2 linked regions of the Oreochromis niloticus genome follow. The protein of the gene in region 1 binds, or shares a complex with, the protein of each later gene. Links are inferred from orthologs where the notes say so. Each region holds a gene or a part of one and is shown on either strand. Other genes may lie near its edges.

Region 1 (7,759 bases):
TACAGAGAGCATCGGTGTTTTAATAAGGAAGTATTCATGATTTGCCGTGAATTCTGTGGTGACTTTAGAAAACAATCTAAAAGTTTCTGAGAGGCTTAAGTCTTACACATTTCCAATTTTCTGAAAAAGAAAAAACATGTTTTGTCATTTTTAATAGCAAAAAATATGGTGACGCACTGACCCTCTCTCCTACGCACATACAGTTGGACAAGTACTATTAATATCACCGCCTGCATCCATGAGACAGTTCAGCTAATGATGGTAAAGGTTGCCAACACACAAAGACACATACATGCACATACATAATCCATCACAAAGTGCACCATAAGAATAACCACTCCATATCCAAATAACTGTGAATACATCCAATACATATAGCTATAAAGTCAAGTATGGTTCATGCTTTTGATTTTTTCCCTTATTTTCAGTCATGTATCTACTGTTTTTATGGTGGATGCTAAGATTGAACATGTCCAAAGCTAGCACAGGTAGAGAGGAGGTGATGGTGCTGTACGAGTGGTGCCTGGAAATAACCCGTCTCTTAACATCAGCAAAACCAGAGAAATGATAGTGGACTACCGGAAACGACCAGTCGGGGAACACCAGCCCATCCACATCAACGGTGTCAAGGTCGAAAGGGTCAGCAGCTTCAAATTCCTTGGAGTCAACATCACTGAGGACTTCTCCTGGACCCTTCACACAGACACTGCTATCAGGAAAGCTCGCCACCGACTCTACTGTCTGAGGAGGCTGAGGAAGTTTGGCATGAACGCCAACATAACCTCAAACTTCTACAGGTGTGCGATCAAGAGCTTGCTGATGAGCTGCACTACAGTTTGGTTCGAAGCTGCTCTGCCAGCAGCCGGAAATCTCTACAGAGAGTGAAAGCAGCAGAGCATGAGGACTCCTGTCATTCAGGATCTATCTTCAACGGTGCCTCCGTAAAGCACACAGCATCATCAAGGACCACAGCCACCCAGCACATCAGCTGTTCTCCTTGTTACCATCTGGCAGACGTTACAGGAGTCTGTCTGCTCCGACTACAAGACTCAAAAACTGTTTTTACCACCAAGTCGACATCTCAACCACAACACTTCACAGGATGCACACAGCTGTTCTGCAGTTTCACAGGTACATAATACACTCAGCACTGGTCACCCCATTTTTATTTTTTTTATTACTATTTCAATAAAAATAAAAACCCTCACTCTTACTGACCCTTAACCCTTACTATACTGCGGAGTGACTGTCTTCTGCTCGTCAAATACATTTTGATCCTGTGCTAACTTCTATATGACAAATAAAACGGAAACTGATGAGCCAAAATGTTAGGCTCAGCCTGGCAGCATTATATCAGCGCAAGTGGATCTCCCTAAAATGGTCAGACTGAGGATGAAAACAATGGCTGCACCACGATAATAAGGAAGTTTAACTGCAGCTGAGAGTCTCTGTTTAGCTGACATGCAGAGGCCTAAGAAGGTCAAACTCATGGAGAGAGAGAAGACGAACGCTTCTTTTCTTCTTTATGGGGTTTATTGGTGGTTGGCAAACAGCAAAATGGTGCATTACCGCCACCAACTGGCGTGGAGTGTGGACCGAAATGACAAAAAAAAAATACAAAAATTTAAATCTTCCCAAACAAATGGGTCTGCCTTAAAAACCAAAATACAGCCTGATTATTTTCACTTACAGAGTTTGTACGAAATAAATCAATCAAGTCCAACTTGACTCTCATATCATCCAGCTTTTTGATCAGTTGTCTTCTTTCAACATCATACTTTGACAATGCAACAAAACGTTCTATTGTTTCCTGTTCCCTACTGCAGTCACACTCCCCTGTACAGTGTTTTCCTATTAAAAGTAATGTGCTATTCAAACCAGTGTGTCCGAATCTAAGTCGAGATACAACCGTCTCCTCTCTCCTGTTTCTTCCTGTACATCTCATTTCTCCTACTTTCCTTTGGATTTTGTAAAACCATCGGCCTTTCCTCTCTTCCTCCCATTGCTTTTGCCACCTTTCCTTCATTTTGTATCGTATTCTACTCTTGATCTCTGTCCTACTAACACTAATAACCATATCCATCATTGGTCTCCTTGTTGCTTCTTTTGCTGTCCTATCTGCTGTTTCATTTCTGCTGATACTCATAAGAATGTGACCATAAGCCCCATCATAACAGTTCTGAATAATGTTTGCTGGATCTCTATCAGAATGTCAGGTCTGCATTCTGAGTGATTGCCTTGCAAACCAGCCAGTGATGAGTTCGAGTCCGAGCGTATCACAGATCTTAGTGGTCTGGTTTCTTCAGTCCACTGGACAGCTAACAATATTGAAACCATTTCTCCTGTGTACACTGATAAATCGTCACTGATCCTTTTCCCGACCTTGATATTAAACTCAGGAACAATAAATGCTATCCCGCTTTGGTTGGCTGTATTCTTTGATGCATCTGTGTAGATTTTTCAAACTGTCTACAGAAGCAACAAGTAAATAAGTATAGTTAGGGTGACCATATTTTGATTTCCAAAAAAAGAGGACACTTGGCCCAGTCATGAAGAACTTTAATAATACTGTTTGCTTAAAGAAAACATATTTAAATGATGCCTTCTCTGTGCGGTAAAAGGTGAAATAAAAAGTGTCATAAAAGCTTTTACAAGTCAACAAGTGCAAAAAAAGAGGACAGTTGGTCACCCTAAGTATAGCTAAGCACACGGGGTTTGAAAAACTAACACTTTTCTTTTTTAAATATAATTTGCTTCTTGAGGAAGGGAAACGAGGACAAAGGGCTGAGATGTCCAGTTTGCTGAAACACATACACTGCATGTCAAGGTTATCTTCTATATATGTCTAAATGTCGTTATTCACTTGAAAGAAAATGATATTTAAATAGCTAAGGTGTGTCACAGTTCAAGGGCTGCATCCGTGGATACAACTATAACACCACACGCCGGTCACACATCTACACAAACACTCACCTTGCGTTACGGCGGACCATTGTATTCGCTCTACATCCGTTAACGTCACAAAACACATAGCCAATCGGTTGTGGGTGCGCTTTATTAAACAGCCGGTTGCGCCCGTCGTCGCTTGTTCGCGCAGGCGGTGTTTATCCAAATATGATATTAGATCCTGTCGGGCATGATTCAGTGAGACTCTTTGCAGAAAGAAGCTGAAGCTGGAAGCCGTCCTTTACCGCAGTACTACATGAGACCTGTTTATGGTGGTTCATCAGCAGCACAGCGCGTCTCACCACCGTCCCTCTGGCCTCATACATGTCCTGCATCACCCTCACATGTCACTCCTGACTCCTTCGTGTAGTACCAGTTCCACTCTCTGTACTTTATCATCTGATTTCTTATGGGGTTTAAAAGAAGCCAGCTTAAAATGAAACTAAAAAATATTGGCATTGAAAAATAATATTGTAACTAAAATAAATAAACAGAAACATTTTGTATTGAAAGTGAAAAAAGACTCATTGAAACTCTAAATATAGACATTAAAACAAATAACTCCTGACCAAGTCTATGGGCTCAAAATGTGGTCATAAATATTTTGTACTTGTAAATCAGGATTTGTATGTGTAAAAAAAATTTGTGTGTGTGTAAAAAAGATTTGTGTGTGGACTTAGCCAAAAAAACCCTGCAAGTTACAAGTACGAATTTTGACCCTATTTTTCTTCCTTTAAGCTGATTGGTCAATGTCATGTCAATCACAAATTAAATAATCCAATCAGAGAACAGATGGGTTTGGCTGACGGGGGGCGGGATGCTTTACGGACCTTCAGGTCCTGGAAGGGTAACACAATTTGAAGATGGAGGGCAGCGGTGGCGCTTCTGCGGCGCAAGTAAGCTTTAATTTATGGTTTACTGGAACAAGCTAATTGTCCAGACATATATTTTTGAATATCATGTTCGGTTCGGTGCCAAAAGCTAGCCTAAAAAGGGCTCTCAACATTAGCCCTAGTGTTGCATGTGTTCAAATAGTCTCCTGTGTGGCACGGTCTGTCTGCTTAAACATCAGCATCGTGGAGAATTATGTGTTTGGAGTTTAATCCCGATGAGATGTCGTTTTGGTAATAATTGGAACTGAAATGCTCTGACTTGACCTTAGCACTGGTCCCAGGTCACCCCCGAGTTTGTGTTAGAGTAATACTACAGTAATTACAGCACACAACAACTTTCAGCAGCTACTGAAAGTTAGGGGACCTAGCTTCAGTGAGCGTTTTGGGATTTATGACAGCTTATAGGCAGCGACATTAAGAAGTACTCTGTCATACAGTACCAGATTGACCAAGAATGCTTCTGTAGTAACTGTAGTGCAGTGTCTGTCTGGTGTCAGTAAGCTAACGTCTGTTGATATTTGCTTTACTGGATGTGTCTTGTTCAAAATTTTAAGAAGGAATTCAGGAGAAAAAGATTTAAAAAGATTGAATTTGCTTCAGCAGTTGAAATTACAAGTTTATAGTGCCAGCCTTTTGTGTGAACCAGCTTCCCAAAAAGGATAATGCTGAAACGGGCTTTACAGCTTATATACTGTGACATAAAAACAGATGCTGATTCTAAGGCCCAGTTCAGGGCATCTTGTTCAGACTCCCTAACCCAGAGACTAATCTAACCATTATCGTGTGTTTGTAAGCATGCTGCAAAAAACCCCTCTGCACTCTGTGTCCCTGCAATATTTCAAATACAGCGCTGAATGACGCTCTCAACCTTCAAACATGGAGTGCCAACATGCTTATGAGCACATTTGCATTGTGTACATCTTAAAAAAATAATGAAACAGCCTTATTTAATAATTTTGTAAACTTGTAAATAAATTTTCAACCCTAACAGATGTCAAATGTGTTTAGGGACTTTTAAAGTCTTTCTTCATCGGGTTATGTGTTTTGAAGTGTGCTATACTAAATTTGTGGGTCATCTGTGTCATCATGGGAACATCCACGGGGTACTTCAGAGAGAACCCTTCTAAATAGGAGAGTGTATGATACATCCATAGAGAAACGTGTAAATCTTTGAAAATTGTCTGATTGTTTTACTTAACAGGTGACTGTAAATCAAGTGGACCTTGGTCTATCTCCCTCCAGAACAGAGAACCTGGATGTCCCTGTGACTCTTTGGTGAGTTCATTTTTTTTTCATTATTAAAGTAATGTTGTTTGAATTTTTTGAATATAGCAAGGTGGCACAGGATAGAACATATTTAAAAATAATTTTTAATGCAATTCAGTTTCTTTACTGTATTACAAAGTTAATCAAAATAAAAAGATTTTCATGAGAATATTATTTGGTTTTATTGAGTTTTACGCAGTTTGACATATCATTGTTCCTTCAATGCACTTCATATGATATCAGTAATTCCATCAATTTTTTCTTCTTTCAGGTGGCTTTAGGAAGACATGTTTTCCAAAACCTTCAAAATAGGCTGGTGCAGTCCTACCAACAGCAGCCCTTGGACCTTGATCATATTGAGTTCCTCTGCGTGAACGCATCAACTCTAGTCTGTTCTCTTTCTGCTCATATTAATGTTCCATCACTGGTAGGTTTATTTGATTTAGTTTTGGTTATCTTTAAAAATCGTTTCAATATATGCCATTCTTATGTATCTTATAATGTTAATTTTACAGTGTAGTAATTATGCTATACAAATAAACCTGTCATCCATTGCTTTGTTAAATCCAAGATGAAATTTTGTTCTGTGTTTCAATTAGAGCTGGGCAATAAAACGATAACGATATGTATTGCGAAATAACTTTTTCTCGATAGAAAAATTAAACTATTGCGATAGGCCTCATCTCTCTTGTCCTCTTAAAAAAAAAGAAAAAAAAGAACAGCCAATCAAAATTAAGTAGCGCAGAGCCGAACCAATCACAGCCGCAGCGTCACGTCACGTGACTTGTTACGTACAGCACAAGCGCCAAGGCGCACATGTGTATTTGTTTTTGCAGCCGTGCAGCCCGGGTAATGAAGGAAGTGAGTGTGCCGACTAGAGAAAAATCAACCGAGAGCGTGAGCGAAGGTTACCGAAGAAAAAACAGATGATGGTTCCAATGCCGGAGAGCTTGTCGAACGGAAGGGCCACAGAAGTTCCGTAGTGTGAAGGTATTTCGGCTATTTCAAGTCTGACAAAAAACAGAGTAGCGCGCACTGTAAATTGTGCCGAAAGCAAGTCTGGAAATACAATAAAGCGGTGCATGCTCAATCTCTGACTGAAAGCGCTGATTCGTCATTCGGCTTTTGTCAGACTAAAGTAACTGTTAAAACTGTTTGAAAAGCTAAGCTATACAACAAGGAGAGATTGAGAATTTCCTTTTAGTTCTCAGTTTATTTGATATTGACAAAAGTTAGTCAATTTTGTCTGTTCTTCTGTAAAACAAACTAAGATTTATTTTTAGAATTAATATTTTGTTTCTAAGTGGAATTGACAATTTAGTCTGTTTTGTTTGTTCTATTTTGAAACTTAAACGCTTTAGCGGCTGCCTTTTGTGTAGTTTGCAATATTTGCCTTTATTTATCTGAAACTGAAGTCTCATGTTCCTTAAGTACATCTACCCTGTTGAACTTAAATGGTAAATGGCCTGTATTTATATAGCGCTTTTATGGTCCCTAAGGACCCCAAAGCGCTTTACATATCCAGTCATTCACCCATTCACACACACATTCATACATAATACAACTTATTATGGGAAATAAATATTTAAATCAAAACAAGCTGCTGATTATTTCACATTTTACTTGTGAGTAACGGCACATTTAAAACTTACAAATATAGTTATTTGGCTTATATCGTGATATATATCGTTATCGCCTGAAATGAAAAAAACATATCGTGATATGAAAAAATCTTATATCGCCCAGCTCTAGTTTCAATATAAAGATTGGGGATAAGAATAATGTTACTAAGATGGTAAAACTGAATTCTAGGATTTCATCCAACTAAATATTTTAATGCAACCATTTTTTAGGTAGTTGAAGCTCTTCACCACCTTATCTGCCTCATCCATTCCAATATGGATACGAGAAGGTCTGCCATTGTTGTTGACAGCTCAGCTGGTGAACGGGGGAGGGCAAAGCTCTATGTTTCCAAAGACCACCTCAAAGATCTAATAAAGATGGACCTCTCCGTTCCTTGTATCTCCAAGCTTTTGGGCATATTGCAGAAAACAGTCCGACGAAGAATGGAAGAGTGGGGCCTCTCAATAACGGCAACCTACAGCTCACTATCAGATGATGAACTTGACAACTTAATTGCAGCCATAAAACAGGAATCGAAATGTCTGGGTTAGTTATTCATGTGAAAAATAATGCTTGTAATAAGATTCTATTTTATTTTTCTTGCTTGCAACCTTTCATATTTACATGAATAACACTAGCTGAATGTCATGATTAGTTAGTAGTTTGATTTACTGTACTATAAGTGCCTTCCAATGTGCTGTTGTAATTGTTTCACTATGGGATGTCTTTTTAGGCTACAGAATGGTTAAAGGACGCCTCAGGGCACTGGGCCACAGGGTGCAGTGGAACAGAGTATGGGATTCCATGCGTCGTGTTGACAGTGCTGGAATCCTTGAAAGGATGGCAAATCTTGGATGTGTTGTTAGAAGGACATACAGTGTTCCTGGTCCTCTGTCACTGCTCCACATTGACACCAACCATAAGTTAATTAGGTAAGTTTAACATAATAGTCATAGGGCACATTTGGGCCCATTAATATTTAACTCATTAATGCATATGCAAACACTGTATTTTACATTACGCCATTACTT
Region 2 (7,021 bases), on another chromosome or scaffold:
GTCCTTCACGCTGCGTCTCTCAAACGAAACGGCCTTCGCTTCATAAGCCTTGGAATTCTCGGGGAACTTAATTAAGTATTTCCTGTACTGAAGGCCTCCAAGTTCCACCACGATGAAAAGGTCGTAGGTTGCATTGGAGTGTGCTGACCCCTGGATCTGAAACAGACAGGGGAAGAGTTGAGATTAATACATACAAATGCAGATAAAATTGCTCATTCAGGAAAAATGAATCACTTGACTCTTTGACTCTTAGTTGTTCTAATATAATTAAAAAAGACTTGATGGCTAATGCTACCAACTTTAGCTATGTAGATGCTTCTATACTTGCTGATACACTGTGCTTTAGCATTGTTTACTATCAATATACAGTACTGTGCAAAAGTGTTGAGTCACTCCTCTTTAAAAAAAAAAAAAAAAAAAAATAGTATCTAGTATTTTTTCCCCATTTATTTAGTTGAATCCATGATAAATGTCAAAGATAACACAGTATTTTTGCACCAACAAGATGATCCCCAAAGAGATATTAGCAGAAAACGTGGCATATCTCAACATGATATCTCAGTACATCCTTAAAGAATTTAAGGAAACTGAATAAATGCAGGACAAAGGTCTTAAAAGCTTTCAGCAGATGAAGAGTATCTGAAAATCATAACCTTAAGAAATATGCAAAAACCCCAGTAAAGACCTTTTAGAGCACCTGAGAGATGCATCAGGACCAGCAGGTACTCCATCTATTATAAAAGTGATGATACCCCCCATCCAATACTGCATTTTCATGCATGTTTGCACATTTCTGTAAATCTCTGCACATATTTCCCATTCACCTATCAACATATTAAAAAAAACAAAACACCATTACACAATGGTTACCAGCATCAAAACAACAGTACCTGAGCAGGGACAGGCTGTCCATCATCATCAAACACGGCTGCGCTCGGCTGCGTCACGGTTACGTTGACGATCGTGGTGATGTTCCACGCCAAAGGGTTATAAACGATGACATGCTGCTCCAAAGTCTGCTCAATATCTGCTACAGAGCAAATCGATGAGCAGTTTACTTCCTTTTTTACTTTTACATGCAAAGACATGCACTGGCTAACATGCTCTGTTTAGCTCAGTTAATTATTATAAAAACAGTTTGTTTTTTTTTTTAAAGTGGAAGCACTGCAGAAATATCAGATTATTGAAACCTTTTGTAGGGTAGCGCTCGCCAAGGATGCTGGGACTCTGGAGGTTGTGGGGCAGCAGAAAGAGAGCAGCTAGGAGCTCCTCTGCTCCCATCATGGCCTGCAGGAGATGCTGCAGGTACATGTCAGCCACTTTGGGAGACTCCGTGCCAGTGATGCCATCATGATGCTGCACCTGGAATACCAAACCACTACCAACTGAATGTTTGAACTTAATTACAGAGAAGTATTTAGCATGATGATTGCGTTGCCTTCTAATCCATATATATTTACTGCACCTTCAATGTTTTGCAGTATTTGTTATCTCACTATGTTTCAGGAATACCTCAGAAACAGCCCAGCGCAGCGCTCTGAGTTTGTCCAGGGCCCAGTCCTTGGCCACAGGTCCATCTGGGAAGCTGATTCGGTAGCGGGTGAAGAGGGTCTCTGCTGCGTACAGCCTGGAGCTGGCCTGTCGCGCCACGCCTTTCAGGACGTTTCTGGAGGCGTAAAACCCCGTCCATGCCTGGTAGGGCTCTAAAAAGTGCGACACATTTCCAATTTACATGAAGTTTGTACGAGACAGCGTTTCCTGTTTTCAAATACACAGTACTCTATATAAAGAGCACTCCTCACTGTTTTGATATCGATTTCTTACCAGTTGAATATGGCAGGAAGTCTTCACTCCCACGCACCTCCCAGGTTAGATTTGATTGGTAGATGGTCTGGAAGTATTCACTCAGAGTGGCGTACTGGACTGTTACCCCAAACTCTTTGCTGTTCTGGTTGATGTACTTCATCAGAGGGTCCATGTTGTTGAACTGTACTGATGAGTTGTAGAACTGTTTGTCACAACCCTACAACATGACGATCGCACATGTGAGTGGGCTGTTTCACAAAAATAACTCCCACATTTTGTCCCAAACCTTAGATACGTTTACCATAGACTGTATATAAAAGATGGACACTTCCACAGTAGAGTCCTACTTTGAAACTTCATTTTGAAGTTTCCCATTTTTTCTTTGTAACAGATCATTATTTGGAAAAGAGAGCGAAGTGGTAAGTCATCAGCTTACAATATCTAGCTTGATTAGGGTCAAATAAAAGATAGCTTCTTTTATGGTTTATTGGTGCCGTTACCCACACCAAGCAACATTATTTGTCAGATAACATCTTTAAAAGTAGTTCAAAAACAACAAAAGTTCTTTTGTTTTGCTTTACAAGCTTTAAACATGCTTTTAACCTGAAGTTTGACACTTCTACACAGGGGTTTGTGAGGATTTACTCACTTTTTGGAGCTCGCCTTTTTTAGGGCCTTTTCGGGAACTGCATTTTTAATACCTTGAGGCTGTTACTTGGATTTGATACAAGGTGGATGGATGGTTTTACAGTTCCTTTTGACTTACCCATGGCCAAAGTACATGATTAGTTCTAAACCACGCTGCTCTCTGCTTGATGTTCTCCACCATGGTCTTGGCGTAAGCATGGACTGTCTCCTTGGTCACGGGTAGGCTCATGTTGGGGTAAACTCCATCTTTAGGTGGGTCCGGAAACAAGGCAACTCCATTCCAATAAAACCCGGAACTGAGACATATGAGGAAGAACAAGAATGGTTATTAAAGATATATCTTATTAATGACGACCACAAATGTAACATAAAGCAGCAGAGAAGCTAAAAATGAAGCACCAGTTGGAGAACGGCAGGTAGGATGGAGTGCAATAGCTGAACTGGTCCATGGTGTGAGTGAAGATCTCTTGCTGTGATTTCAACGAGGGAGAGCCTCGCCATACAAACTGCAGTTTCTGTGTTAGGAAACATAAAACTAGATTAGCTATAAATATTTGGACCACAGATTGAGACGACCATGCGTCTTTTATTTTTATGTTGAGTTACCTTGTTTTTCTGCATGATATCCTTAAGGTCATAATCAATGCGAGAGATGAGATGTGCATTGAATCCAGCCAGGGCAAACAGTACAGGGGTGGTGGCAGAGGCTCCGAAAGGATCCACATGCCATGAGAACTGAGGACGCACCCCAAACGTCTCATACAGGAAGCCATGACCCTCTGAAACAGCAGGGAGGTTCTTGGTTACTATATACTGTGGCTATAACAAATGCACAGTGCGTGTTCCTCCCTGAGCCTGGTTCTGCTGGAGGTTTCTTCCTGCCAAAGGGGAGTTTTTCCTTCCCGCTGTCACCAGGCACTTACTTATATGCTGTCACTTGATCATTGGGGTTTTCTCACTATTACTCTAGAGCACGGGTCCCCAATCCCAGTCGACGAGGGCTGGTGTCCCTGCAGGTTTTAGATCTCATCCTGGGTCAACACACCTGAATCACATGATTAGTTCATTACCAGGCCTCTGGAGAACTTCAAGACATGTTGTGAAGGTAATTTATCCATTTAAATCAGCTGTGATGGATCAAGAACGCATCTAAAACCTGCAGGGACACCGGCCCTCGTGGACTGGGATTGGGAACCCCTGCTCTAGGGTCTTTACCTTACAATATAAGGCACCTTGAGGTGACTGTTGTTGTGACTGTGGTGCTATATAAATAAAACTAAACTGTACACACCCCTGTTAAAATCTCGGGTTTTTGTGATGGTTTATTGTGGTCTTATTTTTGTTTTAACAACAAAAACCTGACATTTTAACAGGAATTGTTCACATTTTTAGAACCACTGTAAGTTATTGCTGCAGCTGTGGACTGAAGGAGCAGGACGTGTGTGGCGTTACCCATCATCTGCAAGATGTCATCGTCCAGGTCAGTTACAGCCTCATCGTGCATCACTTGACCTCCGATGATGAACTCAAGACGACCTTCTTTGATAAGCTGTCGTACCTGGAGAGAAAGAGAGAGGCATGTGCACAAAAAACACAGCAGGGTTAATCTGAGAGAAAACAGCTTGGATGTTTCATTTTTGGGGCATTATCGTGTGCCCTCCACAGTCAGGTAGCCGTGAATACATGGCCTCACCTGTTTCTTTTGTGTGTCCGAGGCCACGGTGTCCCACCAGAGACGGAAAAACTCCTGCTCCACAGCGATGAACCTGCGCTCTTTAACCTTTGACAGCTCCTCAGTCACACTGCTGTACACATTAGCTGCATAGGCGTGCATACTCTCCTGCACTCACATTTATAAACACATTTACCCAGATTAAAGCCCAACCTGCGCGTTAAATGCATCTCAAGTTTAAAGCCGGGTTAAAGACACCTACCTGGATAGTGTACACCCAGCCAACATCCATGTGACTGTGAGGGATCACAAATGTCTGAATCGGCTCTTCTTGCCCTGCCACTCCATGCGAGAACCAGCAGCAAACAGCAAACACGACAGCCGCTACAAATCCCATTTTTGAATCCCATACGAGAGAAGACGGCTTAGATAACTTCGCCGACTTCCTTATTATTGTTGTGCTGCGGCATGTGACTCTGACGACGGAAGCCCAGACACACCAAACCGCCGACTTGTCGTGTCGCCTTTTTTTTTAAAGGCTCAGGTGACCTTTTCACCGGAAGCAGTCAGTGTAAACAGTGCGCACATTTGGAGGCGAGAGCGATATTTTTCTACCCAGCAGAGAAAATGTCTAAAAACACGAGAATAATGTTGGTGTTTGGAGGGTTTGTGACGGCCGTTGCTGCCGCGTTTTACCCCATATTTTTTTACCCCCTCACACACAAAGACGAGTACAGTGAGTACGCTTTCTTTGCTTTCATTTAGTTACACAATTAGTTTATAAAGCCTGGCCTAATGTCGTTTATAATTCTCCTTAGTTACGGCTGAGCTAAATGTCACTTTACTACACAAATGATAAGCAGTCCGTGTAGGCTTGTTTAGCTTAGCTAGCTTAAAGAGTGCCATTGAGGTAACTCATTTAACAAACCCATACATTCAGTTAGAGCGCCTGTTGGAGTCAAAGGTGATCATGAACATTATTTGACTTGAATAAATCCAGCTTATTTATTACTACTACATTTCTTCCCTGTTTTAAAGGGAGTTATGTCAGCTAAGACAAATATAGTCATTATCAGGTACATGGAGAGCTGTCGTCTTGACATACATGGGACATGAAGACAGTAGAAACTGGTAATAATCAGCTTTAGGAAAGGAAATTGTTTATATCAGTGACTTTAGCTGCAAGTTGTTGTTGTTTTTTTTCATACGTTTACCTAAATTGCTATGTTGTTCTGTCCTTGCTAGGAGAAGTCCAAAAGGTGAACCGGGCAGGGATCAACCAGGCAGATGTGCAGCCGGCGGGTAAGTGTGCTTAGTAGATTTGATCTGTTATCAGCTTGTTTGTACAGCTTGCATACTGTACATAAAAATTCATGAATTACAACATATATCTTAAGAGTAAAGGGGATCGCTATTGTTATATTTTCTCTCAAGTACAGTACTGTGCAAAGGTCTTAAAACACTCCTCATTTCTTTATATTTTGCAACAAAAATGGGAAACGGCTTCAGTAAGGTATTGTGCAAACATACATGGAATTACAGTATATAAAGGCAAAAACAGAGTTTGTACAATCCTAATGAGTTTGAAAGTCAGTATTTAGTATGACCACTAAATTCTTCATCACAGCCTGAACACTCTTACGCAATTCAATTTTATTTATATAGCACTAAATCACAACAGCAGTTGCCTCAAGTTAGCTTTCTTGTCATTTCTTTAAGTAGTCTTCAGGAATAGTTCTTCAGGCTTCTTGAAGGACATTTAAACCCCCTCTTTGGATGTTTCTGCCTTTTGTTCTGTTCTCTGTTAAGACGATCTCACACTACTTCAGCAATGTTGAGGTCCAGCATCTGGAGGCCAATCCATGACTGATAGACTGATACAGTCTATATATGTGTGTGATTATTATTAATGAGAGCTCTCTGTCTCTGTGTCTCTTTTTTTTTGTCTGAAGGTATGAAGATATGGTCTGATCCATTCAAGCCTGCAAGCAAATGATGACCACAGTGACCCCTTCACTGAGACGCTGCTGCAGACTCTGAGTACAGAGTGTCTTTTTGATATGTGCTTGGTGTGCGTGAGTGAATGACTGTTGAGTGATAAGTTACCTGTTAAATAAACTATAATCAACTACTTAAGAACCCAAACGTGGATATCTTTTTTTTATATTGTGTTTGGATGGAGGACGGCTAGCTACACAGAAGCACAGATACAAAACAATGACTGTTTTGTTTTTACCCTAAATTCAACCTAAAGCCTGCTGGTCTCCTGTTGCCCACATGAGGGCGCACCACTCCTGTGTGTTCCCGCTAAAGGCAGTGGACTGTGTAATGTCTTGTTTGTGCATCTGAGATATTTTGGAAAAACCATTGTATTTCCAAAAAAGCTTTGCTCTGGTATGCAGCCTGTAGGAAATTATAATAAAATGCAGTGGTTTGTTTACCCATCTCATTCACAGGAATCCCTTTTGACATTTTATTTTGATTTAGTTGATGCGAGAGTCATTAAATCGGTTCAGCAGATGAGGGACAATGTCCAGCAATGTGCGGTATCATCTTCCAAAATGGAAACAGTAGAGACAGAGTTATTCCAGGACACATCACTCTGTATTATCATTTCCCTGTCACGCAGGCAGGGTTTAACTGTTGCTGTTTAAATGACATGTGACCGGCTATGTTTTGCCCATAGGCTGAAAGGACGGGGCACGGCTCCACGATCGTCTTGTTCAAATCCTACTCGATGTGATCCAGACTCCCTTTACGAGTCCACGGGTGCTGTAAAAGCAGAGAATTCCAAAACTACCATTTTTTCCCCCCTGTACTTTTGTGGTTTCCTGACATTGACCAGCATCCCCCTTTCAGAGTTTGGTCCATCAAAGTCCTTCTGGAAGAAAGATA

The links. The genes of interacting proteins can lie anywhere in the genome.
Region 2: coa1 (region 1) and smim20 share a complex: the UniProt entries of both Homo sapiens proteins name them as parts of the MITRAC (mitochondrial translation regulation assembly intermediate of cytochrome c oxidase complex) complex. The link is inferred for Oreochromis niloticus from reciprocal best matches to the Homo sapiens genes COA1 and SMIM20.

Annotation. Positions count from the first base shown.
Region 1 is NC_031982.2:1,695,003-1,702,761, reverse strand, and holds the start of coa1 (cytochrome c oxidase assembly factor 1 homolog), read right to left. Parts: upstream 3,308-7,759; 5' UTR 3,032-3,307; coding exon 2,974-3,031; intron 1-2,973. Other genes in the region: uncharacterized protein LOC100710183, read left to right, coding at 3,764-3,842, 5,041-5,114, 5,377-5,532, 6,959-7,274, 7,462-7,660. UniProt on the Homo sapiens protein: Component of the MITRAC (mitochondrial translation regulation assembly intermediate of cytochrome c oxidase complex) complex, that regulates cytochrome c oxidase assembly.
Region 2 is NC_031967.2:19,539,980-19,547,000, reverse strand, and holds smim20 (small integral membrane protein 20), read left to right. Parts: upstream 1-4,687; 5' UTR 4,688-4,753; coding exon 4,754-4,862; intron 4,863-5,371; coding exon 5,372-5,428; intron 5,429-6,078; coding exon 6,079-6,122; 3' UTR 6,123-6,271; downstream 6,272-7,021. Other genes in the region: man2b2 (epididymis-specific alpha-mannosidase), read right to left, coding at 1-156, 891-1,030, 1,191-1,362, 1,513-1,703, 1,825-2,023, 2,573-2,750, 2,854-2,969, 3,061-3,233 and 3 more.